Pelodiscus sinensis: one gene and its partner. The protein of the gene in region 1 interacts with the protein of each later gene in a biochemical or structural test. Links are inferred from orthologs where the notes say so. Each region holds a gene or a part of one and is shown in the gene's direction. Other genes may lie near its edges. The genes, in order: RXFP3 and RLN3.

The links.
Region 2: the proteins of RXFP3 (region 1) and RLN3 form a complex in vitro, tested with the Homo sapiens proteins (2 studies listed by BioGRID, with this or other methods). The link is inferred for Pelodiscus sinensis from reciprocal best matches to the Homo sapiens genes RXFP3 and RLN3.

What each region holds. Positions count from the first base shown.
Region 1 is NC_134716.1:107,508,804-107,524,331, reverse strand, and holds RXFP3 (relaxin-3 receptor 1), read left to right. Parts: upstream 1-8,130; 5' UTR 8,131-8,863; coding exon 8,864-10,114; 3' UTR 10,115-13,843; downstream 13,844-15,528. UniProt on the Homo sapiens protein: Receptor for RNL3/relaxin-3. Binding of the ligand inhibit cAMP accumulation.
Region 2 is NW_027465944.1:299,260-314,765, forward strand, and holds RLN3 (relaxin-3), read left to right. Parts: upstream 1-9,184; 5' UTR 9,185-10,188; coding exon 10,189-10,348; intron 10,349-11,658; coding exon 11,659-11,918; 3' UTR 11,919-12,335; downstream 12,336-15,506. UniProt on the Homo sapiens protein: May play a role in neuropeptide signaling processes. Ligand for LGR7, RXFP3 and RXFP4.

The sequences.
Region 1 (15,528 bases):
TGCAGAGGCTTTGGATGGTGATCTAGGGGAGGGAGCTGGGGTGCAGAATAGGCTGGGGTGCAGGAGGCAGGTGCTGGCTGGGAGAAGTTTACCTAAGTGTCTCCTGGCCAGCAGGCTGCAGCACCTCCATGGCAGGCTGGGCTCCCTGCCTGCTGCAGTCCCAGCCTGCTTGAAAATGCAGCCTCCTCCCTCCACATGGCTCTCAATTGGGCACGAAGAAGAGGCTTGCACTGCCCTAGTCTCTCAGGCCAATCTCTTAGCTCTGACTGGCTTGCTGTTTCCAGACAATAGAAGCTGAGTGATTGGCTGAGGTCATTTCTTATTGGCAGGTTGTTTCTGGCCAATAGGAGCTGAGGACTGGGCTGGGGGCCAGGAGATTGCACGAAGCTTCCCTCTGCCTGCAGAACAGAGAATGGCAGAGACAGTGTTTGAAACCATGGCAGCTGCTGCCTGAGGGTCCCAGCAGGGTGGTCCGCAGGCCAGATCCAGTGGCTTGGTGGGCCAAATCCAGCCCCCAGGTTGTATTTTGCCCAGCCCTGATATAGAGGGAATCCCATTGTTCTCCTGTGGAAAAATACAGATACGAAATAGAATTTTTCATATGAGCAAATCACCTTTCCATGCATGACTCAGTTCTTTACAGGTGGATGTGATTGCTCCCATGCTGATCTAAACTAGGGTTGCCAGATACTTTCACACAAAATACCGAACATGGCGGGAAAAAAATTCGTTGAGCAAAAAAACAACAACAAAAAAGAGCCACTGCGCCTTTAAATCCCACTCTCCCTGCCCCTGCCCATACATCCCACTGGCCTTCCATCCAAGAAAAACAGAAAATACCAGAAATTTTACATGTCCAGTATTTTCTGTTATTGTTACCGGACAGAGGCCACAAATACCGGACTGTCCGGGCGAAAACTGGACACCTGGCAACCCTAATCTAAACATTCACAGAAAAGCTCATTGGATGTGAATTGGCCCCACTCAAAGCCCATTGTCAGTCAAATACTTCTATTCACTTGACCAGAAGTCCTGTCACAATAGGCTAGCCAAGCTTCCTATTGGTGTCTCCCAGAAATGAACATTTGAAACATTAAGTTCAAAGCCAACACTCATCACTTCAAATACAAAAATGATACATGCATACAAATGCTATAAACAGAGCCACCTTTTGATAGACACTTCACTTGGCCCACTTTGTACAAGATTTCATGCAAACATATAACAGTGGTTGCAACAGTAAGCTGTTTGGGCACCGTTTAAACTGATAATGTCACACAGCTATATGTGAATAGAATGGCTAGGGCACAATTAAAGGTACGAGGATGAAATCTGGTGACAGTCTACAGATGTGTAAGCTGTAAAAACTGAGGAGGGAGAAGAATTCCTTGTGTTGGTGCTGCGTGATATAGCCAGAAGAAACAGGCTAAAAGCAAGCAAGGAAAATGAAGATTGAATGTCAGTTCAGACTTAAGTCTACAGAGCTGGGATTGTCTCCCAAAAGAAGTGATGGAAGCCCCATCTGTGGAGTCATTAAAATTACTCTACACAAAGAAACAGTGTTAGTTCTATTGTTCAACAGGGAAGAGCTACTACAAAGTAAACGTCAGAACTAGTATCCCAATATTCCCACTTCAATGCTGGCTGTGGCTCTGATTCTACTAAAGAGGTGAACAGAGGTAGTAGAAATCTCTCTCCCATCCCGAAGGCTATATAACAGGTTATCTAGATAACCAAATGTCATCTGTTCTTCTTTGAGGTCCATTTATAGAGAAATTTCAGATATGTTATTTTTAATCTTGTTTCCTTATTCTTCTCTGGGGACACTGCCATTTATCTGGCACAACCAACATCTGGCAAAATTAGGGGATGGACATTGGTAGATTCCTTTCTCCTTATCTTCTGTTTCAATATTGTTCATGAAGGACATTGGAAAGGACATTGACAGCTCACCTGTGATAACTTAAATACTCTCAGTGCTGAGTAAAGGACTTACAATTAATAACTGATGTGCAAAAAAGTTAGCCCCAAAGTCTGCGCATGAAGTATCTGTGAGCAAATTCAAATAAGTGGGAAAAAACAAAATATTCAGAGAGTTTTTGTGACTCCCTAAACGGCTAATCCTCCATCACTCTTCAAGCAATGTAGCTTAGTTGTAAATGGTTACAACTAAGTTAAGTTATAAAGTGTTATTTCTGTTCTCCATTCGGATTAATAGGAAAATCCAGCTGACAATATCATTCACATGTCCAAATTTAATCATGTTTCCAATTCATGATACCACCACATCAGTGGTTACTGTGACATTAGCTACCCATGAAAATTCATGCCATTAAAACCTGTTTACATGAGTATTCCTATAAATCAGAGACAAAAGGATCATAAGTATAGATTTAAACATTAAATATTCAAATCAAACTTTCTACCAAGCTTTATTGCCGGTGTATGTTGATAGCCTTCTCATCTTGGAGGGAGGTTTTCTACTGAAAACCTTGTGTTCATTTCCTTTCTATATCCCAAAAAGGGAGTTTTGGAGGTGAAATTCATCCTTGTCCCAAGACTTATTGCACAACGTCCCATTTAAACTTCTGCTTCTCAATAGGGGGTGTGGGAACAGTGAAACCTTAACATACAGATGAGCTGTAAAACTTTCAGCTGTTAACAATTATTGTGTTAGTACAAGATGGAGGGATCAAAGATACTCAGAGAAGCCAGAGAGAGATCAGATGAGTCCAAGAGAAAAGCCTTGGGAAAGAGGAGAGTCAAATGAATAAAAAAGGTCCCTTTCCTTTAAATAAATAAATACATAAATAAATAAATATTCAGAAAATTGTTGTTAAAGGAGTTATTCTTTGAGCACAGTTCTATAGAGAAAATAAAACCTTGAATTATGCAGATCCCATCTGAGCATCCTATGGTAATTACTCTTTTTAACTAAGTCCATTCAAGACCTTTAATTTTATTACTTTTTTCTTCAATAACAGGAGGAGGAAAACAATCCTTCACAGCTATAAAAATGTCACAATAAGCAGTCTCTTGGTGGTCTCGCCTGTTATTTTTTTGTATTTATAATGGCAAGTAATTAGAAGCAATTATAATAATAAATGCCTTGTCTTTGGAGAAGGTCCAAAAGGAGGTAGAAAACAGAAAGAATCCTTCAGGATAAATAGTATGAAAATTACTATTTTAAATAAACATAGTTAAAGCATATTTGAAAGCCAATTTTAAAGCATATACTGGACAAAAATAATCTCTGGTGTAATTCCATTGCTGTGAAAGGGCCAAATTCTCAAGCTGGTGTAAATCATGTAAGCACCATTGTCTTCAATGGTCAAATAAGATGATTGATATCCATTGAGTATTGGACTGAATAGAGATTATTTAATTACTATAGCTTTATAAAATATGGCCTCAAAAGTGCCATCCTTGGATGTAGGTTAAGGAGCTAAATAAGAAAAACTTCTTTACACAGCATGTCCTCAGCCTGTGGAATTCTCTATTCTAGAGGGTAAGAGGGTCACACACTCTGACTGGGTTTTTAAAAGTGATGGATAATTTTACAGTCAATCTCATTTGGCCAATGCTAAGGCAAGGAAATAAAACTTCATATTTATATTCACACCCCTCAATATATAACAACAATATATATGTTCAGCTACCCCTCTGAAATGTCAGAATAGTATCACAGATGCAGAGCCTCCAGTGAGCCTCAATTCCATCCCTTTCCAAAAGCCTTAGTACATAGATATACTTTGTAACATTCCCTGAACATCAGGGGACAAGGACTATTTCAGACCCTGCCTGGATTCTGAAAAATGTTACAGTCAGGAACATTTATGCAACTATTTATATGTATCAGATTGTTTGTATGTTTGGAGCCTTACTGATTTATGCCAAGTACACCGTGCGTATTCACATGTTACTACAAACTCCACTGATATTCTGATAAAAAAGAAGCACTACAAACAATGTACGTGTTCTGAAAGGTCCTGAATTACATTACTGCATGTAGAAAGTATGAAGAATAGTGTTTTTTGGAAATATAGGAATAATAATCAGGAAATCATTTATTTTATGAATTTTGGGGTTTTTTCACAAAATGTGATTACTTTTTTCACTAAATTTTCCCCGGATACAGAAATGGGTTGATTAATGTATTTACAAATCATTCATTCACCGAATATCACATTACTTTCAAATAAATCATTCATTTTTTAAAATTATTCTTCGAGCTATAGCTTGCTCCTTTTGCTATCCCTTAAAATTCTTTTCCAAGATCAAAAAGAAATGAAGAAGAAAACAGAAGATAAACATAAAGGCTGTGCAAGCAGTTATGCCAGCCATTCTCGTGCTGCCAAGAGATGCTTTAGCTCATATTCAGTTAGAGCAACTCCCACATGCTTTATTTGATCGGCTTGCATTATGAATACATACGTCTTCCTTCTTAATCATTCCCTTCCTTCCATCCCCAGTATTTTGTGTCCCTTTCTTGTTTTGGAACTTCATTACAATTTAGTCTCTATAGTGTACCAACCAAATATGATTGGCAAGAAAATATACAAGTAGAATAAAACTCATTTCACACAAAAGACAGGTTCTGTCTTTTTCCCATTTAAGTTACAAGAAAATTGGGCTTATAGATCTGTGTGCTCAGAAAAGGGCTTTAAATCTTCAGAGATCATGATGAGAAATCAAATTTTGCATTCTGTGTCCTATTAGTTCCTGGCATTTGGATTGGCTGTGAAAGAAGTTAAATGGCCAAATGAAAGTATAAGGAATAGTATTTTTTGGAAATATAGGAATAATAATCAGGAAATTATTTATTTTATGAATTTTGGTTTTTTTTCCAGTAAATGTGATTACTTTTTTCACAGAATTTTCCCCGGGTACAGAAATGGGTTGATTAATGTATTTACAAATAATTCATTCACCGAATATCACATTACTTTCAAATAAATCATTTATTTTTTAAGATTATTCTTCAAACTACTGTATAGCAGTTGAACTATTTGACTTTCAAGTCAAATAAAGATGATTCCTTGACTGCTAATTACAAATGGATGAGGAGAAGAATTTAAAAAAAAACAGAGAAATTGAGCAACCTTCAAGAAAATCAAGAAACTTGTTTGTTGTACTCTTAATTTTGAGTAAGATCTAAAACAATGCTCTGGATATAGGATTAAAGACTCTGCACTGCTGAAAAGGAGACCTTGACATTTCACAAGATCAGACTTGTTGTGCCATGTTCAGATGTAGGCATTTCTACCTTCTCTATATAACATTCTTCTGTAGGTTCCATTATAGGAGGTAGCCTTCTTTGGTTCCTGTCCTATGATACTATGAAACATCATTAAACACCTATTGGATTAAACACCTGGAAGTGGTTTAATTTGGTACCTAGTCAGCGAAGTACTTTGGAATTCTTCTATCTAAAAGGTGCAAATTAAGTTTTTAATAATGAGCAGTATTACCTGGTCATAGCCCCATCCCAATAACTACAGGAAAGGGTGAAGATATGTAAAAGATATAAAAGAAGGCACTTCTTTACACAGCATGCCCTCTGCCTGTGGAATTCTCTGTTCTAGGGAGTCAGAGAGTCACACACTATAACTGGATTTTAAAAGATGATGGTGAATTTTGTGGTTAATCACATTTGGCCAACTGTCCCCGATCCTTTTTTTTTTTTCGATGAATTTTCCCCGGTGGGTTTTTGTTGTTTTGTTTTTGCTTGGCCGGGGCCACCAATTGGTTAGGACCGGCTCTGGTTCTGACACCTCTGCATCACCACAGGAGGCTTTGGGTAGGCTCCTGCAGGAGGACCCTGTGAAGTTGGGATTGGCAAGAATCAACACCCAGCAAGACCTGAGTGGCAGCCCACACAGCCTTATACAGGTACTTAAACCAGGAAGTCATGAAGAGGAGCTATGTGAGTAACACCACTCCTGTCTCCTGATACCTGATTCTCTGCCTGCCTTCTCACCTGTCTTGGACTCTGACCTCCTGGTATCTGAATTAGCCCAACTCGTTCTCTAACCAATTGATCTGACTGTCTATGTCTCTGTCATGCTGACAAGGCTAGATGAACACTGGACACTTCATGTACATAATCTGTTAGTGAAAATCCTATGCTCCTAAATGAGGGCTAACATATACCAGTGCATTTTAATACAGAGTATTTCCATTACAGGAGTACTGAGAGATGCCAATGTGGATTGGAACCACATTGTATTAGGCACTGTACATAGATGAAAATACAGTTTCTCACCCTCAAAAATTTGTAAGTTAATGCCACTATTCTTCAGTTCAGAATGTACAGGCAGAGTGCTATATCTACAGAGAGCCCCAACAAATCTATGTGGGTTCTGCAGTCTGCATGCATGCTCTCACATGCAGGGTCAGGGCCTAAGAAGACAGACAATACACCAAATTTGACAGGAAACACAATATATACTATTTCTATACACATATGCCCTCTTGCAAAGTTTTTAAATATTATAAAAGTTCTGCCAATTATCCTTATATTCTTCTTGAACCTTTATTAACTGCTGATTTATTTTACAGATACCAACACCTAAGTGGGTTTTAAGTAAACTTCAGTTAGAGAAAGGCATTCCATGGCTAAGAGGGAGCGTGTAATAAGGTACAGAAATATCTGTGTGGAAATGTAAATCAAATAAAATCAGTTTACAGACCACGGGGATAATACTTGACTTGTGTAAGTTGCTCTTGTGCTCTTCAGAGGTTATATTTAGAATGAATTGTGGTCAGAAAAATTACTGAATATTTTGAGACTTGGTTCCTAAAGCCCCTTCTTCACACAGACACATATTTTCAATGTATCTGTTGCCTAATTTGCTGACAAAGACATATTTCACTACCTCAAGAACAATAAACAATGTACCTGCAGCAGAACATGCTGTATTTTGTACTGCCTCATGTGCAATATCAGTGCACAAACAAAACGGCCAGCTTGGTTATTTTCCAGAATCTGCATTGTTCCTAATGACATATGTAACCAAAAGAAAAGAGCTGGGTTTTGGACAGGGGAAGGGGTCAGTGCCAGCAAGGAGGGGAGGAGATTTGCTTTGATTTGTTTGTTGTGTGTGTGTGTGTGTGGGGGGGGGAGATGACATAAAAAGGTAAGGCTGCTCCAACAACCCAGTTGCCACTTAAACTTTTCTCCACCCTCCCAGGGGCTACAGCAATGAAACATGGATACTAAGGTTTTATTTGTTAGTGGCTGCTGATTTTCTCGAAACCCTTATTTTATAAAGCACTATTTTCCCCTGAAACCTCAGAGCCCCCTAGTGGCCAATGTTAAAATATTCATAAGGATTTTCTATCAAAGGGTCTCCGCTGTTTGAAGTCAACGGCAAAGCTCAGAGGCACCTCAGTGGGAGAATAATAGGACTCAAATCCAGGGCCACCCACCTAACCTGTACTATTTCTCATAGTAATCCTCTATCGCATTCTTGCGGCCTTATCCAGCGTCTGATGCTCATCTTTGCTGTTTTCATGTAACCCATTCCAAATTAAGAGATAAGGATCATCGGTACCTTCAGCCTTTATTTTAAGAAGTCAAAGATTGTCAGTCATTTAATATTCATCTGTGGTCATTTAACATATTTACCTTTCGTTATAGAAAAATAATTCCGAGACATTTTCAAGTTGCTCACAAAAAAAGGGGGGGGGGGGGAAGAAAGATCAAATAATTTTGGATTCGTTCTGTAGCTAAGCAAAATGTAGTACCGCATGCCTCCAAGGAATCCATGCGTTACAGGAACATTGGATAATGCCAGGTTGGGTTTGTTTATAATCCAAAACATTTGCAACGCTTTTCGTTAAACTGAATTGTCTTGAAGCCGATAGCCACCAAACGGAACCCTGGAGAATGTAAGGATGGAAATGACTACGGTGGGTGTAAAATATCATGTGAACAAAATAACACTGGAAATAAATATCACACCCCATTTATAAGCAGAATTAGTTACACAACAGAACAAATAACAGAGATGAAAGTCCGCTTGCGGCACGGACAAGCCTCATGGTAAACAAGCTCTGTGCTTGTTGAAACTCAACGCAAAACTTGCCACCGGACTACAGGTTTTTAAAAGTTTGGATGCACACAGAAGGGGCAGCTTGGGAGTTTCATTAGACCCCAGATACACTCCACGCTTCATTTAAAGTCTGTAGAGAAGGGAAGCGGGGTTGGGTTCCACGTTGGACTTTGGGATACACAGAGAAGACCAGGGCGGTTTAAAGGGTGGGGGGACCCAGGTGACGGGCGGTTGGACGTGGGGAAGGGCTGCATTTCCTATGCTCGCTTTCTCCGGCGCTGTTCCAACGCAGCTCGCTCCACCAGCGCGGGGGAAGCCAAGTCCCGGCTGCCGGCAGGTGAGTTCCGAGGAGGCTGGGCGGGGGAGAGCCGCCTGCTGCAGGGGCGGCTGCGCTGCTCCCGCCGGGGGTGCCGGGCCGCTGCCGCGAGGCGGGCAGTGCCCAGCCGGACTGCCCCGCGAAGAACCTCGGAGAGCTCCGGGCGCTGCGCACGCCCCCCCGCCCGCTCCGCGGGGGCCGAAGGGGGATATAACGCGGCGAGCTGCGGGCAGGGGAGACGCGCCGGCAGCAGCAGCGGAGCGCGGGGGGCACCCGCCTTGCACCGCGCCACGCCCCAGCCCGGCTGGCTCCCACGCCGGGCCCCCGGAGCCGTCGCGGCGGTCCGAGCCGGTGGCTGCCGCGGGGCGCCAGGCTGAGCATGTGCTTGGCAGGCGAGGGGGGCCCGGGCCAGCCCGCGCAGCGCGGCTCCTGAGCGCAGCCCGGCCTGGGAGCGAGAGACCCGCCCCCGCCAGCCTCCCCCTGCCATGGGATGGACGCCCCCTGCGAGCCCGCCGCCTGCTCGCCGGCCTCCCTGCTGCTGGGCGGGCAGTTCGGCAACGGGACCAACGAGTCCCTGCCGGAGCCCTCCCGGGGCATCGCCCTAGAGCGAGCCGAGGGGCTGCAGGGGGACGTCTCGGCCGCCCTGCGCATCGTCATCTCCAGCGTCTACTCGGTGGTGTGCGCCGTGGGGCTGGTGGGCAACCTGCTGGTGCTCTACCTCATGAAGAGCAAGCAGGGCTGGAAGAAATCCTCCATTAACCTCTTCGTGACCAGCCTGGCGCTGACCGACTTCCAGTTCGTGCTGACGCTGCCCTTCTGGGCGGTGGAGAACGCCCTGGACTTCACCTGGCTCTTCGGCAAGGCCATGTGCAAGATCGTCTGCTATGTGACCACCATGAACATGTACGCCAGCGTCTTCTTCCTCACCGCCATGAGCGTGGTCCGCTACCACTTGGTGGCCTCCGCCCTGAGCAGCCAACGGCGCGGCCCAGGGTGCTGCTCGGCCAAATGGCTGTGCCTCCTCATCTGGGGGGCTGCCATGCTGGCCGCCCTGCCTCACGCTTTCTTCTCCACCACTGCCACTGTCTTCAACGAGGAGCTCTGCCTTGTCAAGTTCCCCGAGGGCCGTGGCAACAGCGCCCAGTTCTGGCTAGGCCTCTACCAGGCCCAGAAGGTGCTGCTAGGTTTTGTGGTGCCGTTGGCGGTCATCAGCCTCTGTTACCTGCTGCTGCTGCGCTTCCTGGGTGAGCGCCACGCGGGCCGGGCCTGTGGCGGGCCCAAGCGGCGGGCCAAGGTGACTCGCTCGGTGACAGTGGTGGTGCTCTCCTTCTTCCTCTGCTGGCTGCCCAACCAGGCGATCACCGCCTGGAGTGTCCTCATCAAGTTCAACGTGGTGCACTTCAGCCCACAGTACTTCTTCTCGCAGGCCTACCTCTTCCCCATCAGTGTGTGCCTGGCACACTGCAACACCTGCCTAAATCCTCTGCTCTACTGCCTGCTCCGCCGCGAGTTCCGCGCCGCCCTACGCCGCCTGCTCTGGCGCCTGGCCTCGCCCTCGCTCACCGCCACACGGCCCTTCACTGCCACCACCAAGCCCGAGCCCGAGGAGCCAGCACTACGCACCCTGGTGCCCGCCGTCACCCCTCCCCAGCCTGACCTCCTCTACTACCCACCCGGCGTGGTGGTGTGCAGCAGCCGCTGGGACATGCTGCCCAGCAGCTCTGCCGAACAGCGCTGTTGAGCTGATGGGGGTTTTTGGGGGCAACGGAGGGGGTGTCTGTGAGGGATGTGCTCTTAGGATCCTCCTAGCCCAGGGACAGTGGGTGTCCATGTGAGACAGACTCAGGAGTGTCCCAGCAGTGAATGGTGGTGTGCCTGTGGAGGATGGTTTCAGGAGAGGAGTTGGGGGATGGGCTCCAGGGAATGTCCTATGATGGAGGGTGTCTCTAGGGGGAGTAACTCTGGGGATTATCCCAGCAGTGGGGAGTGGACTCCTGGGACTGTCCTGGCCTTGAGAGTGATGGAGGTCAAGGGTGTTTGTAAGGGTTTGCCTCTGGGGACCACCCCAGAAGTGGGTGGAGTGGGGGAGGGGCGTCTGTGGAGGTTGGACTCCTGGGTCTGCCCCAGGCTGGCTGTGGAGTAGTGGAAGGGGTATCTGTGGGGCAGTGTTCTTTCCTCTAGGGAAAGGGGATGGCAATGGGGGAGACTGAGGCTCCATATGGCCAGGCTACTGTATGTGGAGAGGCTGAGGGGACTACATGGGGAGCAAGGATTCCTTGGAAGTGGAAGATGCTTGCAGACTTTGTATGAGGAGGTGGCAAGAGGTATGTGAGAAGCAAGTCAGGACTTTCCACTTCCCACTAGAGCCCAGATTGGGAGGGCCTGGCTTTGTTCTCCCCCAGCACTGAGCTGGGGAACCAAGCACGACTCACTGTAAATACAACTGCATGCTTGGCTCTAGCACAGCTCCTTTGAGAACGCTGTTCATGGAGCATTCACTGCAGCACTTCACCCTCTGTTAGCCTGTTTCAAAGTGAAATGATTCACACCGATAAACAAAAACTAGAGTAACTGATATTTGGGATCTGAGTGCTGCTGAGAAGGGGAAGGGGCTTTTTTCCCCCTAGTTCATTATTTGTAATTATAAACTTTGCAGTAGTTGTGAAATGTTATGTCCTACCATCAGCTATTGTTGTCAATCATTTGTGGTCAGAGGGTACTGTATCTGTAACGGATCATTGTCTAGAAGGAATCAAGCCACTGCATTGCCAGTTTTAAGGACAGGCTATTCAAAGCCCTATGCCAAAAGGCACCAGGGGGACCATCTAGTCTGATATCCCATAGAACACCAACCACAGAACTTCCACAAAATCATTCCCTAAAGCACATCTTTTAGAGCAACATCCAGTCCTGATGTAAAGATTGTTACTGATGAAGAATCAGCCATGAGTCCTAGTGAGTGGCTAATTAACCTCAGTGTTAAAAATTTACACCATATTTCCAGTCTGTATTTGCCTAGCTTAAAAATTTCCAGTCCTTGGACTGTGTTATAACTGAGCTGGATTAAACAATGAGGAGTCCTGTGACACCTTAGGGTACATCTACACTGCTTGGCTATTTCAAAATAAGCTATTCCGGAATAGTTTTTTTGAAATAGCTTATTTCAAAATAACACATCTACACTGTAGGGATGCCTCAAAATTAGTGGTTCTCAACCTTTCCAAACTACTGTTCACTTTTCAGGAGTCAGATCTGTCTCATGTATTCAGGTTTCACCTCACTTAAAAACCACTTGCTTAGACAAGCAGATATAAAAGTGTCACAGTACACTAATAGTGAACAATTGCTGACTTTTTATCATAGAATTATAAAATTCATCAATTGGAATATAAATATTGTACTTACATTTCAGTGTACAGCAATATAGAGCAGTATAAACAAATCATGGTTTTAGATTTTAGTTACTTCACAAGTGCTTTTTATGTTACCTATTATAAAACGAGGCAAATATCTAGATGAATTGATGTATCCCCTAGAAAACCTCGGCATACCTCAAAGTATGAGGCATATTTTCTCACCCTTTAATCAATCTATGTGCTTCTCTGAATCCTCTCCTATTTACCAGACCCCTCACAGCATTCTAGCAGTAGTTACACCAGTGCCAAATACAGTGGCAACATAGCCTGTCTGCAACTACTTGAGATTCTGCTGTTTATTCATCACAGGATTGCATTAGCTCTTTTGTCCACAGCACCGCACTGGGAGATAATGGTCACCTGATCATCCACCCTGGCCCCAAAATTTTCTGAGTCACTGCTGACCAGGATAGATTCCACCATCCTGTAAGTATGGCTTGCATCCTAGATGTATATACATTTACACTTCCCCATATTCAACCATGTTGCTTACACCATGTTAACGAAACAATCCTGACCACTCTGTAGCAGTGACCTGTCCTCTTCATTAGTGACCCCCTTGCCATATTTTGTGTCCTCTACAAATTTTATCAGTGATGATTTTGTTTTCTTCCTTGTAGTTTATATAAATGGTTGGACCTCCCTGGTCCAGCATCCACGGAACCTGACTGGCCCTGGATGAGAGATTTTGATAGACCAGGGGAGGTCATTTCTGGTCCCACTGTTGCTGGCCCCATCTGGCTTGCCAGCTCCTGTCCCTTACCCACAGTTCAGCTGAGCAGCGCGCTGAGCTTTCCAGCTCCTGGCCCTCCCCTGGCCCAGCCCAGCTGAGCCATGCACCAGCCTTCCCTGCTTCCATCCAGCTCCCTCCCCAGGCAGCTTCCCAACTTCCCTCCTCCTGGGCAATCCAGCTGAGTCACGCAATGGGCTCGTGCTCTCCCCCCCCCCCCCCACCCTTGCATGTGGTCATGCTGGACCACGGATGTTGCCAGACTAGAGTCCCAGTTTATAGAGGTGCAACCTGTAGTATAGAGCTAAGAAAAGATATTCAGTTAGCTAGACAAGCTCTATTTTCCATAAACCCCTGTTGATTTGCATTAATTACTTTATCCTCCTTTCATTTGTTATTAATCAAGTCTGCTACCAGCTGCCCCTTATCTTAACCAGGATCAATATCAGGCTGACCAGCCTATAATTACATGGGTTAACCCATTTACCATTTTTTAAAATTGGCACATTACCTTTCCTGTAGTCTTCTAGAATTTCCCTAGGGCTCCAAGAGTTACTGAAAAATCAACATTAGTGATACAGCAAGCTCATCAGACAGAGCTTTTAAAACTTTTGGGTGCAAGTTTTCTGGACCTGCTGACTTAAAACATTTACTTCTAATAGTATGGAATTGAGTGTTATCATAAAATGAGACATTTGTTTTCTCCCAAATGCAGACAAATATGAATATAGAGGTCCTTGGCAGAATTTCCATGTGTCTGTTTTTGTTCATATCTGCTATTGTGGATGTTAGATCTCCAAAGATCATTGGGCTTTATTCATATAAAACATGCCACAAGAGGTCATTACATGCCTCTTGTCACAGTTCATACATTCTAACCCATGATGAAATGGATGAGGGTGTCAAGGATGAGACCAACCCCAGTATTTCAGCTTATGGAGTTTCCTATTCATCTGGGGAGACAGACTTGTCCCTTTGTTGTGTGGAAGGATCCATTCCATTAGCAGGACTGTGAAGCTACACTGATTTCAGGAGATCTACAGAAGACACAGTGCAAATGTTGTTGCCTCTGTTATGTACATGGTCCCACAGCAGCTTCTGTAGGATCTCTTTTCCCAGGTGCTTCTCCTACACAGCAGCCCTTGAAACTCGGAGGAAAAAGAGTTCCACAGGGCTAAGAGAATGGGGAGGGAGGAGGTGTGAGACTGAAGCACAAGGTTAGGCCATATTAATTTGCATTTCTTTCTGCTGTGGGCTTGGAGAAGAGAATCTGGAGGAGCCCCCTTCTGCTGCTGGTCTGACTTCTACAATTACATGAAGCTGGAAGTCTAGGGAATCCCACAGAGGGAAAAGAGAGGAAAGGGGAAGAATGGATTAGAGGGTAGAATTTCCATCTTACTATAGATTCTTCTGGACTAGAAGTTTTGCTCCTGTTGTAGCTCAAGCTACTAGCCAATAATTTGAGTTCATTAACACAATTGTAAATTTGATACCCCAGACACTGCACTGCTGTTCACTCCAGAAATCAAATGTTTGGGATTCCCCTCTGGGCTCAGCCTACAGTGGATCAGAAAAAGTTGTGAACTGGAAAAATGGAGAACATGCATTGGCATTTAAAGTTGCATGGTTAACTGGAGATCAATTAACCCCACTTACAACAAGAGCAAAACCTCTAGTATAGACAAATTTCATCTGTGAAATTCACTCCTGTCAAATGAAGTGGGTGGAAAAGGGGAGGGAAGTGGGGTATTCCATAAAATGGCATTCTGGTGTCTGTGTGTGGGGGGGGGAGGGGGGAATATTCCCCATTATGGCCATAGAAGATGAGGCCTTCAATTTTTGGCCAGGAAAACCTTGCATTGATTTCAATTGGAATTTTACTCAGTCCTAGGGAGGTACGAACAGAGTCCTTCTGGATTTGGCCCATGCTGTACATGCTAGTGAAGCCCAGGGTAGAATTAAGACTTGCTCCTGTGCTCAGACTGCAACTGGTCCAGTCATTGAAACCAAAGAGCCATTTATCTGCCTCAAGACAATTGAGACCTATCTGGTGGTATCTTTATAACCCTGAACACTGACTGAGTAGGGTATTAGAGACATACAGCAGTGTTCACAAAGCAACAATAAGCTAAAAGCAACTCCGTGCTCTGAGTGTCCCTACCCTCTGTTTGCCAGAAGCTGGGAGTGGAGGAAAGGGGATGGATCACTTGATGATTACCTGTTCTGGAAGTCAAATCCTACTGAGGAAAACAGGAGCATAAACTCTTGTCAAATTAACTGTAAAAATATAATTTTAAAAAGCCCAAAAGGAGTTTGAAGCTAGCCAAAAACTCAAAGTAATAGCAAAATGTTCTTTAAGTATATCAGATGTAGGAAGCCTGCTGAACAACCAGTGGGGGCGTTGGACGATCAAGGTGCTAAAGAATTACTCAAAGATAATAAGGTCATTGCAGAGAAACTATATGAATTCTTTGCTTCAGTCTTCACAAATGAGGATGTTAGGGAGAATCCCAAACCTGAACCATTCTTTTTAGGTGACCAATCTGAGGAATTGTCCCAGATTGAGGTGTCATTAGATGTTTCAGAACAAACTGATAATCTTAACAAAGACCAGATGGCATTAACCCAAGAGTTCTGAAAGAACTCAAATGTGAAATTGCAGAACTGTTAACTGTGGTTTGTAACTTATCCTTTAAATAGGCTTCTGTACCTAATTACGGGAACATAGCTAATATGACACCAATATTTAAAAAGGGCTAGAGGTGATCCTGGCAATAATAGACTGGTAAATCTAGTGTCAGTACTGGGCAAATTGGTTGACACTATATTGAAGAATAAAATTGTTGGACACCTAAATTAGCATAATTTGTTGTGGAAAAGTCAACATGGTTCCTGTAGAGGGAAACCATGACTTACAAATCTACTAGAGTTCTTTGAGGTGGTCAACAAATATATGGACATGGGGGATCCAGTGGATATAGTGTACTTAGATCTCCAGAAAGCCTTTAA
Region 2 (15,506 bases), on another chromosome or scaffold:
GCCAAGGAGCTTATCAAACCGGCAGGCACGTTATACGTTGGCATTATCACTAAAATGCAGCCATCGCTGGGGGAAGGGGGCACATGGCAGCTGTTTAACAGCACACAGCAAGGCTACAGGAGGAGCGAAGAAGCCCATATCCAGCTGAAATGCCGGAGGCAGCATGGAATCACCTGAGCAGGAATCTGGCCAGGACCCTGGGCTAGCAGCCCGAGCCTCAAGATTAAATCTCATATTTCATAACGGTGGGGGACCGGTCTCAAGGGGCTCTTTGTGCTTACAAGTCCCACAGAGATGCTCGAGAACCTTTCTGCTACACAAAGGAGGGGACCACCCAGCAAAAGCTCCACTGGCCACCCTCCTCACAGTTCTGACATAAGAACCGGAAAATGAAATTGGTGAAGAAATAAAAGTGAAAGCGGCCAGTCTGTTTTCACTGGCCAGATTCAGCCCTGGACCCAGCATCAATAGTGAGAAGTGAATCTGATTTGTAAATTATCTTCATTTTATTCACTGAAGGTGTGATGAGTAACACAGCCTCTGGAAATAATATTCTGTACTTCTACCACACCATCCCTTGTAACCATTTATGAATTAAACTTCTTAACACTTTTGGGAAGTGGGTGTCATTATATTCATTTTATAAAGGAGGAAACTGCGGCTGAGGGAGGTTAATATGGTTTACCTGAAGTCAAAGAGGAAGTCTCTCATATAGCTAGAAATAGAAGCCAGAACTCTAGACAGTCAGTACTTTGATCACAAAACCCTTCCTTTCCAAAGGAAGGCAACAGCACTTAAAAACATATTATCTTTAACCTGTGTGTGCCCCTTTATTTGTATTCATTTTAGTATTTAATGACACAAAGGGTCACAGCTCCTCCACTGACCCTTTATAGCGACAGATTTGTTTCACCCAAGATCAAAGTAATGGTCTATTCCATCTTGTCTCTTTTTCTTGTTTGACACAGCAGCATGGTAATCAAAGCAGCACTTTGTTTTCCCAGTTAGATTCCCCTCTACATGCATCCTATAAAGTACTGGAATGTCTTCACAAAACATGTGATTTGCTTAAAAGGGACCAGTCAACGCTGGCTGGGGCCAGTTTGATACAAAAGGGCATGGATGACAGGAATGGATTCAAACTCTCTCGGCTTTTGGAATGACAAATCTACAGCAAAGATCTCTGATTAGACGGTGTAATCCTGTAAGGTGCTGAGCACTGCCTATGGCTTCAAAAGACGTTGCGGGCACTCAACACCTCACAAGATTAGTTCCTGTATCTCACCTTTTGCAGCTTAAGATCCTCCTCTTCCTTCTCACTCAATCTAAACTGAACAATATCTATACAGCTCCTAGTAGCTATTGCCTCCAAGCCTCATCTCATCTCCCTCCTCCCTGTTTACTTGTCCCCTTGCAATTTATTTGAGAAATGCCCAGAAAGAAGCCAATGGGCAAGTCACACAAAGGACTCACAGACACACCAAGATAAACGCAGCATCATAATAAAGTTATGAAGCAGTCACATGAACCACAGGAAAACATATAAAAGGTGCAAATCCACCCCCTACTGAATATGTAAAGCCAGGGAGTGGGTAATTTAGCACCACAGAGCAGGTAAGTTTCCTGTTGAATGGTCCCTAGCCGTAATTTTCGTGAACTGCTCCACTTTTGTTGACAGGATTCAATTTACTGAGAACATTTCTGGGTCTGGAAATTGTTTCCGGGCCCTGGGAAATGTGATCATGATGTCTCTCCTCGGTGATATTTTGATGCTATGTTGTCATCTCCCAGTGCCACAGTATGACAGCACAATAACGCTTTAACACAGTCACAATGACATTTTACACAAGCATGAGCAACGGCAGCTTTGATGGCATTTTGACACAAGAGTGACCTGTCACCCACGGCATGATAGCGCTTTGGGACGTCAGCCTGCTGCCTCGTGGAGTGGACGTTCCAAAGGGGCACTGTCATTGCCTGTCCCCTTTTGACTCCACACGATGGCTATCGAGGTAAGATATCATCGTCGCCTCTCGTGGCACAATGCTGCTCTGTGGCAAGTCCCCCTTTGGCCAGGAGGGGTTTGATAACTTACAGCGATATTATGGACACAACGAGGAGCCCTGTAGCACCTTAAAGACCAAGAGATTGACTTTATGCCCAAACAAATGTGTTAGTCTGAAAGGCTCCACAGGACTCCTGGCTGTTTTTGCAGACTCAGACTAGCACGGGGACCCCTCCGGGATGTGACGCTGCATCGTCTGCCCCTGCGACACTGGTGCTCTGCCGCCATCGCCCGTGCGGGCGCACCGCCCTCTCTGCACGGGGCACAGCGGTTCAGATGCCACGGGCCGGCCTCGTGACCCCCGTGGCATCGGCGCCCCGTGATTCGATCGGCACTACCCCCCCCCCCCCCCGGCTGGCCAGGCAAGGCCTCGTGACGACACCAGGGACCCACCATGGCCAGCCGGGGGGGGGGGCGGGAGTTCACCAGGAGCGGCCGTGCAAGGTCACCACGAGACAGTGGTGAGGAAACCATCCCACCTCACATTATGACATCATCGGCCTGACACGTCACACAGGCCGTGACATCACAGGGAAGCCCCGCCCCCTTCCCCAGATCGGCGGGCACGGGGGTCCCCATCGTAGCCCCCCCCACGCGGCGCCCCGCCCTCTCCGCGACCCCATTGGCTGCCCCCTGCGCCCCGCTTCTTCTGATTGGCCCGCCCGCCCACCAATCACCGGGGAGCACGGCAAGCCCCGCCCACCGGGCCTGGGCCCTTCTTAATCCCGGGGCAGCGGCCGGCCCTCAGTCGAGCGAGGGCGGCGCCTCCGGCGCGGGCGGCCCCGAGGCTCCCCCCGGCCGCGTGCCCCCCCCCCGGGGCGCGCCCCCCCCCCCCAGCAGCCATTTTGTGAGGGGGGGGTTCGAGTCGGACCCACCTTCTCGGTCCCTCCCCGCGGCCCGGTCCCGCCGCCCCGCGGAGGCCGCTTCGCTTCAGGCTCCGACGCGCCGGGCTCGGGCGGAGCCGCCGCTCATCGGCCGCGGCGGGGCCGGGATTTTGGCGGGGCTCGCGTAGCCGGCGGGGGGGAGGGGGTCCGCTCGCGGCGGTTGTTGTTGTTGTTGCCGGGTTTCCTGGTCGCCACGACTACGGTGGCTATGGCGCCCTCCGTGTTCCCTCACCGGGGCAACTGTTGCTACCCACCTCGGCTGCGGGCGGGGCCGAAGGGGGGGAGAAGGGAGGCCCCTGCGGTGATTGGTCGGAGCTGGCCGTTCCATTGGGTGGCCTAGCTGTCGCTCTGCACCGCGCTCGCTCTGGTTGGCTGGAGGCCGTGCCCTTCAGATCACGTTCCGCCTCCCACGCTGGATGGGATTGGCCTGTTGGGCAGGACGCGTACTGATTGGCTCCTCTCCACGTTTGACTCCACGCTGATTAGGCAGTTCCGCCGTCTGTCTGGGGAAAGGGCGGGGGGGGTGAGGAGGCGGGTTGGGATTGGCCAGTCAGGGAGTTGGCGGCTTGCGATTGGTTACAGCCCTCGTCAATCAGCTGTCTGGTAAGCAACGTCTGGGGATCGTAGAACCGCGCCCCAGGGTGGGACAAGTGCGCGTGCGCGCTCTGCGCCCGTGGCGTGATGGGAAATGTAGTCCTTGGCTACCAGAGGCCAAGCGTTACCTTGCCTGCTTCTGCTACGGCTTGGAGGGGCCGCTGTCCCTCTCCTGCCTTGATCCCGTGACGTCACTGCTCGTGGTATGATGTCACACCGCGCTTCCTGCGGGTATTGCAAAACTCCACAGTGATGTAATGGCAGCCGTGGTGATGTCACTCACTGGTGTGCCCCTAAACTAGTGCAGAGCCCGAAAGCTGTGCCTGCGGCATGCCCGGCCGGGGCGATGGGGCCCCTCGAGGCAGGCTGCTGCTCTGATCCCGTGTGCCTGGGATGCTCGTCACGGCTCCCGCCTGCATGAAGAGGCAGGACGGTGCAGGGGTGAGGCTGCTACCTGAGAACTTGGGCGTTGCTGCCTCCGTTTCCTGCTCTGCTGCAGCCTCCCTGTGTGACCACTGGCAACGGGCCAGGACTCGCTTCCCAATCTGTGCCAGGGCGTTACTCACACTGCCCTCCCTCGCAGGGGCTTGGCGAGATCAATGCATTAAGAGATTGCAAGGCATTCAGTCGCTGTCATAAAGAGGGTCCCATAGGAGACTCTCCGACTATTAAGCTCTGCTGCAAGGCAGATGCTATTAGCTGGCCCTCTGGTCTGTCCTAGCATAGTCAGGAGTCAAACTGGACAATGGGAAGAAAGACTGCTGTTATGGTAGCCCCAGGAGCTGCAGCCGTAGGCCAGGAACTTATCATGCTGGGCCCTATACAAAGAGAGACCAGAAAGATGCTTCCTGCCCCAGAATGTGTATTCTCTCTCTCAAGTCAAAGGAACACATGAGATAGTATCAGGTTCCAGTATCTCCCTTTTTTTGTGAGCACTGCAATTATTGTCAATATTGACCCTTTAAGAGCCATCATTAGGTTTCAGAGGGAACAATCCACTGAGATACACGCACTTCTCCAAGCCGCTGGGCCGGACTCTTGCTTCCCTGCTCCATGTGCCACCATTAAGCCTTGTTCAGAGTGAGGGCTATGCTCCTGCACTGACCTGGCAACGTCTTACGCTGACTTGGCCTGCAGAAAAGAATAAATACACAAATGGTCGACAGTGGACAATAAGATTCTCTGCAGTCATTACCGTATCCTTTCCTTCCTAAGGCTCTATGCAGCTGCCCCTTGCCTTAGTGTCTGGTCATCTGCAGCTGGGTCCCATTCCAAAGGCTTCTCTCTGCAATCATTTATGTTTTAAACCACACCAGTGCTGAAATCTTGAGGCTGGCAATAGGGGCCTCCAGAAAACAGAGTGATCCTGCCACTTTCCCACTGAGCATGGCAGGTCCTTTCTGCCTGTGTGCTTTAGCCTGGCCCGTAGGGACCCCGGTCACTCTGTCAACGTTCGTTTCTGAGCCCTTTCCATCCTGTCCCTGTCGGCTGAAATGGACAATGAAGGAATTCATCTCTGGACCTAACCACCTCAGCCACCAAATCAGAGGCTCATTTAACTGCACATCCAGTAATGTGGTCTATGCCAGCCATGCCCCACTGCGATATATATTGGGCAAACTGGACAGTCCCTACGGCAAAGAATTAATGGACACAAATCAGATATCTGAAAAGGGAACTCCCAAAAACCAGTTGGGGAACACTTTAACCTCCTTGGACACTCAAGGGATCTCCAAAAGTTGCTGTTTTGTTACAGACCAATTCCACAAGCCAAATACACAGAGAAGGACTGGAACTCCACTTCATTCACACGTTTAATTCTTGTGCAGATGGTTTAAATCACCATATTGGATGGCTGGGACATTATCAACCAAGCACACAATGAAGGTGCCAATGGTTCTTGACCTCTGTGTAGAATCTGTTGTTACTCCTCCTCTCCAAGTGCAAACTAATGGTTCTTATCAGCCTCTTTGAACTATCTAGTCTTTGAGGTGCTAATAGACTACTAGGTCATTACCTACCTATCAAACAATGAGAGTGACAATGGTTCTTTGTCTTTGAAGAATATCATTGTTTCATCAGTCTTTAAGTGTTTCCTGACTCTGTTTGCTAATTAATGGTTCTTATCTTCCCCTTTGACTATCTAGTCTTTAGGTGCTTATAGACTTGGCTTTCCCTTGATATATTTTTTGCCCACTGCCTTTTCTTGTCTCCGCTCCTCCCCCAATTTTCCATTCTCCTCCTCCTTCCCCCCCTATTTATTTTGTTCCTAGACATCCAACGCTCCAGTCATCTGAAGAAGTGGGCTGTGTCCATGAAAGCTCATGATAACATCTCCATGTTTTATTAGTCTACAAAGTACTACCAGACTATTTGTTGTTTTTTTCAGTTTACCTGTACAGACTAACTTGGCTGCCCCTTGAAGCTGTTTTTCCTGTTACAGACTGGCTCTGCTTTCCCTTTGAAACTTTTCTACCCACTGCCTCTTTTGCCTCTCCTCCCCCGCCCCCGCCCCTTCTTCCTCCATTTATTCTTGGTTCTGGACATCCAACACTCCCGTCATCTGAAGAAATGGGCAGTACCTGCAAAAGCTCATGATACCATCTAGGGCTGTGTCTAGACTGGCCAGTTTTTCTGGAAAATCAGCCGCTTTTCCGGAAAAACTTGCCAGCTGTCTACACTGGCCACTTGAATTTCCGCAAAAGCACTGACTTCCTACTGTAAGAAATCAGTGCTTCCTGCAGAAATGCTGTGCTGCTCCCGTTCAGGCAAAAGTCCCTTTTGCGCAAAAGGGCCAGTGTAGACAGCTCAGATTTGTTTTCCGCAAAAAAGCCCCGATGGCGAAAATGGCGATTGAGGCTTTTTTGCACAAAAGCGCGTCTAGATTGGCCACGGAGGCTTTTCTGCAAAAAGTGCTTTTGCGGAAAAGCGTCCTGCCAATCTAGACGCTCTGTTCCGAAAATGCTTTTAATGGAAAACTTTTCCGTTAAAAGCATTTCTGGAAAATCATGCCAGTCTAGACGCAGCCTAAGTGTTTTGTTAGTCTATAAAGTGCTACTAGACTGTTGAAGTTTTTCCTGTTACAGACTAACTCAGCTCCCCCTCTGAAGCTGTTTCCGAGGCTTTGTCTACACTTAAAAGTTTAGAGCACAGCTGAAAATGTGGCCAAAGCACAAGCACAGAGAGAGTCTCCCAGCGCTGCATGTGAACCACCTCCAGGAAGGGAGCAGCTAACACTGTGGGGACTGTGGTTCTCCATGCTGTAGCCTGGCTCGCCCTGGTGCTTTACAGCCCTGTAACTTGCTGGTTTTCTGTGCCCCAAGCCAGAAATTTATAGCGCTAGAAAGCACCAGTGTAGACTTAGCCTATGAATCCTGAATTGATACTTTAAGGCCTGACTCATGCATGCAGCATGGCTAGTATTCAAGGGAGGAGCGGGTTCAGGGCATGCCAGTAGCAGGTGTGACACATCCTGCCATCGCAGGTTCAAATCCCCGCTCTGGCTCTTGCCTTCAGTCTGAAAACTGAGCTGCTCGGTGAGCCCCGCTCTCGGCGAGGGGGTGTAAATCCAAAGAGGCTGCTGTGGAGTGGCCGTAGCTCTGCTGGGGCAAGGGCTGACTTGGTCTGCAGCTTGTGTGCAACATGCCTCTAGACGTCGAGTCTCAGGCGGTCGGTGGAGGGCAGAGGCTCAAGGGTGTTTTCCGTGGGGTGGGCGGGGTAGAGTTCCTCCCAGGGGTAAAAGTAACTGAAACTTCTAAGAGGTGCCGTTGTCACATTGTGGGGCAGAGCGTTGGGGGTTGTGTGCAGGGGGAGGAGAGGCTGGGCCAGTCCCCCGTCAGTTTCCCACTCCCACCCTGCTCCTGGCCCAATGGGGGCTATGGCTGTGGGAGGACAGTGCCTGCAGGCAGGGGTGGGGGTGTAAAAGGCAAGGGAAGGCAATGACTTCCTAAGCTGCCAGCCTGTCTCCCCCCCACCCCCGAAGTCTCCTGGGGCTTCAGGCCTGCCATGGAAGCTGGGACCAGGCACCACTTATGCTCTGGGGCTGGAGAAGACGCCCACCGTCCCTGTGCTGCAGGGAAGGCTGGAGCTGCACTCCACGCACCATCCCCATGCTCCCGGGGCCAGGGAGAGCTGGGGCTGCGTACGGCCTGCACTCCCTGTGCTGGAGGTAGAGCAGGGGCACGGCTAGGGCTGTGCGCCTCCCTCTGAAGGGGGGCGGCTTGGCTCCCACGGGGGCCCTGGGCAACAGAGGTGGGACCTCAGGTGGCAGGGACGGTGCTGGGGCTTGCCTCGCCCAGCCGTCAGTCCAGGACAGGCTGGGAACCCCACCCACGCTGCTGGCAGGCGCTTGCCTGGGGCCCATGTGCATCTCCACCTGCATCGCCCTCCCACTGCCATCTTCTTACCGGTATAGTGCACTGGGGTGCACCAGCCCACCCCCCACTCCCTCTGTGCATGGATCATCCGTTCACACACCCCTGTCGTTACCCCCCAGGGTATGTGGGCTGATTCCTCCCCGCTCCAGCCCCCGTGCCAAAAGCTTCCCATGCGCCCAGCCTGCTGCAGAGCGAACGGCACACGAGCCTGGGGAAAGCGGAACTTTGAGGCTGGCTCCTTGGTCTCCAGAGAATAAGCCACGTGCAGGGAGCTGCGGCTCGTGGCCCAGGTGGAGGGGGGAGGGTGCGGGCTGCTCGGGAGTTTGAAATGGTGACAGGTGTCACCTGGCAGGGCAGGGCCGGTGCCGCGCTGCAGGCAGGGTTATCTCTGCGCCGCAGGCTGGCCCCTGGCATTTGCCGCACGGCCCCAGGCCTCGCGCGCCCACGGGAGAAAGGACGTAATTGAAAGGAGATAAGCAAAGGTCGCTGCCGCTCCTGCTGTCTGGGGCGCTGGGGGACGCGCTGAAGGAATGAGATTGCTGGGGAGAATGGAGAGAGTGGGGTGATTCGCCTGTGGCTGCCTGTGTTCCTGCCCCACTGCCTATAGCGCCCCCTGCTGGGAGAGGCTGGGACTGCAGGACCTGGGATCTGCCCCCCCCAGCCAATACTCCTGCCCCACTGCCTATAGCGCCCCCTGCTGTGTTCCTGCCCTGTCCCTATAGCGCCCCCTGCTGGGAGATGCTGGGACTCCAGGACCTGGGATCTGCCCCCCCCCCCCGCCAATACTCCTGCCCTGTCCCTATAGCACCCCCTGCTGGGAGAGGCTGGGACTGCAGGACCTGGGATCTGCCCCCCCAGCCAATACTCCTGCCCTGTCCCTATAGCACCCCCTGCTGGGAGAGGCTGGGACTGCAGGACCTGGGATCTGCCCCCCCCCCCAGCCAGCGCTGCTGTCCTGTCTCTATAGCGCCCCCTGCTGGGAGAGGCTGGGACTGCAGGACCTGGGATCTGCCCCCCCCCAGCCAGCGCTGCTGCCCTGTCCCTATAGCGCCCCCTGCTGGGAGAGGCTGGGACTGCAGGACCTGGGATCTGCCCCCCCGCAGCCAGCGCTGCTGTCCTGTCTCTATAGCGCCCCCTGCTGGGAGAGGCTGGGACTGCAGGACCTGGGATCTGCCCCCCCCCAGCCAGCGCTGCTGTCCTGTCTCTATAGCGCCCCCTGCTGGGAGAGGCTGGGACTGCAGGACCTGGGATCTGCCCCCCCCCAGCCAGCGCTGCTGCCCTGTCCCTATAGCGCCCCCTGCTGGGAGAGGCTGGGACTGCAGGACCTGGGATCTGCCCCCCCGCAGCCAGCGCTGCTGTCCTGTCTCTATAGCGCCCCCTGCTGGGAGAGGCTGGGACTGCAGTAGCCATGAGCCACTCCCCCACCGCTGGGAGCCTGCACTGCTCCCTAGAGCGCCCCCTGCAGGGAGAGGCTGGGACTGCAGCAGTTGTGAGCACCTCACAAGCCGCTTTCTTCCAGCGCTCCCTATAGGGAATGGTCCGTCTGCCATGCACATGCCTAGGGGAACCAGCAAGTCCCCATAATGACCCCAGGGATGGAGAGGGACAAAGCAGCCAGGACTCCTGGCTCCATCCCAGCTGCCTGAGACACCTCAGGAGAGTTCCTGACCTGCTCTGTGCCTTAGTTTCCCCCATAGTAGAGTGGGGTTAATGATCCTCTCCGGAGGTGGGCGGGGGGGAGAATCCAGCCCAAAGGAGCGGGGCTCTCGGAAGCGTCCGACTTTCCGGGCAGTGCGGCCTGGGCAGCTCCGACCCCGGCCGCCCTCACTGCAGGAGTGGGGGAACAGCAGAGGGGTGCGAACGGCAGATCCCTGCAGGGAGGGAGTGTGCGAGCGGGAGAGACAGCGCAGGGAGGGCCAGCGGGGGCTGCCTGTCACTCACCGCCCCCCCATGTCCCTCCACCGCCCGGCGCGGCGATAGCCAGCAAAAAGGTTATCAGCGTCTCGCTCCCTGGCACCCGGGGCTGCTGCCCCCTGCCCTGCCCCCGCATCCCCGGAAAGGTCTCGCCGTGCCACTCGAGCGACTCAGCCGCCTAATCGGGGGAGAGCATGCCAGAGCCGGCGGCCAAAGGCCACCCCACGTGCGGCCTCTCCGCAGGGCTCCTCGGCGGGGGAGGGGGTGGGATGGTATAAAGGGGGGCGCGGCAGGGCTCCGGAGGCAGCTGGGAGCTCCTCTGGCCTGGGCGCCCGTCTCGCCACACCAAGCAGCCATGCCGAAGCTCCTCCTGGCCCTGGCGTTCGGGACGCTGCTCTGGGAACTGAGGCTGGGGGCCGAGGGCCGGAACCCACCCTATGGCGTCAAGCTGTGCGGCCGGGAGTTCATCCGGGCCGTCATCTTCACCTGTGGGGGCTCCCGCTGGAGACGGACAGGTGAGAAGGATGGGGGGGTCCCTGCCTGGATTCCCACTGGGAGGGGAGCAGGGTCTTCTGGTTGGCACGGGGCGGGGAGCTGGACCTCAGGACTCCTGGGTTCTAGTCTTAGCTCTGCCACTGGCTTGCAGCTTGCCAGCTCACTCCCCTGCCCCGTGCCTTAGTTTCCCCCTCTGGAAAACAGGGCTCCATGTCCCTCCTTTACTCCCCAGCAAGTGGGGAAGGGAATGAGACATGAGGAAACATTGGGGGCAGCATGTTTTGTTTAGGCACCATCCAGAAGTGACTGTCTGCTCCCCCAGCGCTGCAGGGGTGGGTTGTGGGTCACTGTTCAGTTAGTAGGGGCAGCACAGGGAGCCTGGGTCGCCCAGGAGGGCAGGTCTCGTGTCCCACCTTAACACCCGCCCCCCCCCCAGCAGCTCCCAGATCAGAGTTGCTCCAGCGAGAAGTCAGCAGCTAACAGCAATTTTTTCCCCCTGGGGAATTTTCTGCCCCTTTCCCCCTCGTCGCCCACCGGCCAGGGAGATCTGCAATGGGGAGCACACAGGGCCAGGAATGGGGGTTGCCATGCCTCATGGGCTCAGTCAGCTGGAGGAAGAGGAGCTGATCCCTATTGCCTGCTCCGTGAGAGGAGCCAGGCTGAGGCCAGCAAGGGATATGGGGGTTAGGGTTGGATTTGCTACTTGGAACTTCTCTGCTGTTCCCGCGGCAGGTGCTGCCCTGCCAGAAGGGGGCGCTCTAACCCCTCTTGGCCTTTGCAGCCGACTGGAGGTGTTGGGGGGTGTTGTGAGCCCCGGTGCCACCCAGCCCTGCTACCTTCCCCGGCAGCAAAGGTGGCAGGACTGGGATGTAGCTGGCCAGGACTGTCCCCTCCAGTGAGCCGCGGGACTTGAAGGGTTGGCTGGTGGTTAAGGCACTAGCCTGAGCCTTGGCTGCTATTTCCAGCTCAGCCACTGGCCCTGCTAGGGGGACCCAGGACCAGCCTGAAATAGTTTCAAAGGGGGCAAAAAAAAACCCCAAAATGTAAGAATCCCTCACGTATCAGAACGAGAAGGCAGAGACTGAAATAGTGTCAGTGGTGTGTGGCCTCCCCTGCTGGCTGGACTCCGCACGGCTCACCTGTGAGTCATAGGCCCCATACTGCTACCAGTAAGAGGGAGATTTTCCCTTCAACTCAAGCAGAGAGGTCAATGCTCCCGGAGTAGGGGGAACTCGCCTTGCCGTCTACAGGAAGTTGTAACCTTCCTGGGTGCGGTCCCTGGTCTTCCTCACTTGCTCTTTGCACATTAACCCCTTCCCTCCCACTGCAGGTGACCTCGAGATCCTGAGCGGCCCCCCTGGCGGGGAAGACTCCACAGAAGCTGCCTCCAGCGAGTGGGACGTCAGCCGCCTGCCCGGGATGCTGCCCCTCTCCTCCGACTACCACGAGAGGTGGCGAGGCAAACCGGGCCGCAGCCTCTCCGAGGACAGCTGGCCTTTGGAGCGCGCCGCCCGGGACGTCACGACGGGGCTGAGCACCTCCTGCTGCAAGTGGGGGTGCAGCAAGAGCGAGATCAGCTCCCTGTGCTAGAGGCGGGCAGGGGGCAGCGCATGGCGCCGCAGGTTGGCACTCGACCTGCAGCGGGCGTCGGGGCCATGCCGGTTGGCACCCACGGAGGGTCCAGCCCTGGGATGGTGGCTGAAAGTAGAAACCCACAGTTCCCTGCCCTGCAGCTGCTCAGCAACCTGGGAGCCCTGCCCGAGTGAGGACTGCAGGGATCGGGCTGTGGAAATGTCTGTCATGCTGGCGGTGCCCCCCACCCCGGGGAGGGGCAGAGGTGAACTCCAGGGTCCTGGGGCATGCTGGGATTGGAGGCTGAGTTTCGATTTATGAGGAACCAGATGACAAACCCCACACCACACACACACACGCGCGCGCGCGTCCAGTTGGGTCACCCCCACTTTGCCTCCTCTTGCGGTTGTAGCCGGGGTTCAATAAAAGATCAAAAGAAACTAAGAGCGTGAGCTGGACTTGGATTGAGGGTTCTGGGCTGCAAGTTCCTGCAGGTTGGGAAATCCGAGCTACTTTGCAGGGGCCGGCCCTTCCCCAGAGCGCCCCCTGCTGGGGCTGGCCTTGCCAGAGGCTTTCCCCCAGAGCGCCCCCTGCTGGGGCTGGCCTAGCCAAGGGCTTTCCCCCAGAGCGCCCCCTGCTGGGGCTGGCCTTGCCAGGGGCTCTCCCCCAGAGCGCCCCCTGCTGGGGCTGGCCTAGCCAAGGGCTTTCCCCCAGAGCGCCCCCTGCTGGGGCTGGCCTTGCCAGAGGCTTTCCCCCAGAGTGCCGCCTGCTGGGGCTGGCCTAGCCAAGGGCTCTCCTTCCCAGAGCGCCCCCTGCTGGGGCTGGCCTTGCCAGGGGCTCTCCCCCAGAGCGCCCCCTGCTGGGGCTGGCCTTGCCAGGGGCTCTCCCCCAGAGCGCCCCCTGCTGGGGCTGGCCTTGCCCGGTGCTCTCCCCCAGCTGCCCACACTTGCTTTCCTGCCCTCTTGGGAGAGGGCTCTGAGCTCCCCCTCTGCTGTTCTGCCCTGCTCCCTGCAGCGCCTCCTGCTGGGACTGGAGCACCCGAGCGCTCCCTGAACAGCCAGTGCCCCTGCTCCATTCCTGTGGTGCCCGCTGCAGGGAGGGGCTGGGAGTGGGGCAGCCAGTGCCCTGGCTGTTCCTGGCATGGGGAGCCCTGGGGGACACTTCCTCGCATCCCTGCAGGGGGATTTTTTGTGGCAAATTCCAGGAATGAGTTTCCTCTTACCTGAAACCTGCCTGCTGCCTTCTGGCCCGCCCTGGCAATCGATGCACCCAGCGCGGGTTGGGTAACCCTGGCAAGCCCCACGCTGGCCGGGCTCTCAGAGGGTGTTTAGTTAAGCAGGGCTGATAACACAAAGCCATGTTCCGGGGATGCCCTCCACGCTGCCCCTCGCCCAGCGGTGCCCTGCTCTGTGTACCTAGGCACGATGCACCCCACATATCCCCCCACAAGCCGGGGGCCCCGCGGCTCTTGGCTGGGCTCAGAGAAAAGACAGGACTTTTCAAAGGAAGGCGCAGTCAGACCCCAGGGTCCGGGCAGGGTCTCAGAGCTTGGATTCTCCGGCTGGCGGCCTAGCGCAGCGTTTCTCCACCTTTTCTTATAAAGTGCCCCCTTTCAAAAAATTAGAAGTACCCCCAGTACCTACAGTTCTCAGACACACACATTTTTTTTCTCCCATTGCAACACGTTTGTTTAAACAACTTCATTGGAGCCGGGCAGGAGATGAAATGTTTGGGCGTAAAAAGCACAAAAAGAAGGAAGTGCTGTAAAAGTTAATACAAACATTCGGTTTTCTCCACATTTCTGCTGTGTTGACGTATTCCCCCCTCCACCCAGGACGTCTCTCGAGTACCCCTCAGGGTACTGGTACCATGGTTGAGAAACACTGGTCTTTCTAGAGCATGGGTTCCCAAACTGGGGGCCGTGAAGAAATTCCAGGGGGGGCGCGAGGCAACCCAGCCCCCCCAAGTTGTGCTCAACAAGTTTGGCTGCTATTGGGGGGGGGGGGCGGGAGGGTTTCTCAAAAATCAAAAAGGGGGGCGTGATGCCGAAAAGTTTGGGAACTAACTTTTCCCAAACTTGAAAATCAACTTGATTCTAGAGAATCAAACTTAAAATCAGCGAGGCTGATGGAGTCAGTTAGAGAACCCAGGCATCTGGGCACCCAACCTCCTGCGCTAACCACTCAGCCCCACTCTGCTCCTGCTGCCTGGATAGAGCATGAGAGTCCTGGGGGTCCAAATCCCTACTCTAGTAACGACACCCGCTTCCTATCGGAGCTGGGAATAAAAGCCCCAAGCCCTGGCTGCCACCAGCCTCCTGCTCTAACCATTGACCCCACTCCCCTTCAGGAGATGCCCCGGGAACATTGTGTGGCCCTGAAGTGGTTTGGTACGGCACGAGTCCCGGACTCAACGGGTCGCTGTGGGGAGAGAGTATGGGCTAATGGTTAGAGCAGGGAGCCAGGCGCCTGGGTTCTGGCTCCCGCAATGGGAAAGGAGTGTTCTCTAGTGGTTAGAGCAGGCGCGTGGTTCGAGCAGGACTCGCGGGGGGAGGGGAGAGAGGGGTAGTGGGCAGAGCAGGGCGGAGTCACTAGTCCAGGGGCGAACCACAGCAAGTGAAACGCCCCGCCGGCTCCGGGCCGCTGCAAACTTCGCAGACTCTGCCCGGGGGCTTGTTCCGGTGCGTCCGCTCCGCGTGTGCTCGGCCCCCGCGCTTCCTGCTCAGGCGCAGGCTCCTTCCTGACCCCGCCAGCCGGCCGCCTCGGCTCGGCTCCGGCAGCTTCGCTTCCCCTCCCCCTCCCCCTCGGCTCCGGTCCTCCGCCTGACTTTCCGGTGTCGTGTGAACGCGGCCCCGGACTCCCAGCGCAGGTAGGTGCGCGGGTGTCCCAGCCCCGGGCGCAGGGAGGGACCAAGCCGGAGGGAGGATGGAGGGGGAGGGTTAAGGGGGGGCATCTGCTCCCGCATCCAGATGTGTTGGGGGGGCTTTGCAGGGGGGGGGAGTTCTCTCCGGATGCTCCTTCGTTTGGCTCGTCCTGCGAGGGAGGCGGCCGCGGGAGAGGGGGGCAACAGCCGCCGGGAGGAGAGTGGGGAGTAGTGGTTAGAGGCGCCCGAGCGGGAAGCCCACGTTACGGGGGTGATGTGGCACGAGAAAGGGAGCGGTTGGAAGTCAGGTCTCCCGGGGTCCATTCCCAGCTCTGGGAGGGGGAGTCAGGACTAGTGGTTAGAGCTGAGGGGGGCCGGGAGTCAGGTCTCCCGGGGTCCATTCCCAGCTCTGGGAGGGGGAGTCAGGACTAGTGGTTAGAGCTGAGGGGGGCCGGAAGTCAGGTCTCCCGGGGTCCATTCCCAGCTCTGGGAGGGGGAGTCAGGACTAATGGTTAGAGGCGCAACAGCCTGAGAGTCAGAATTTCTGCAGTTTGCCCCTGTCTCAAGGAAGGGAGTGGGGTCTAGCATGGAGGGCTGGGGGCCAGGACTCCTGGGTTCTTGCCTCAGCTCTGGGAGGGTAGAGGGGCCTAGTGGTTAGAGCAGCGGGGGGCCGGGAATCAGACAATGGCGATTGGAGCCAAGGTGGGTCCAAACTGCCAGCTGGGACATATGGGTAAGGAGAGC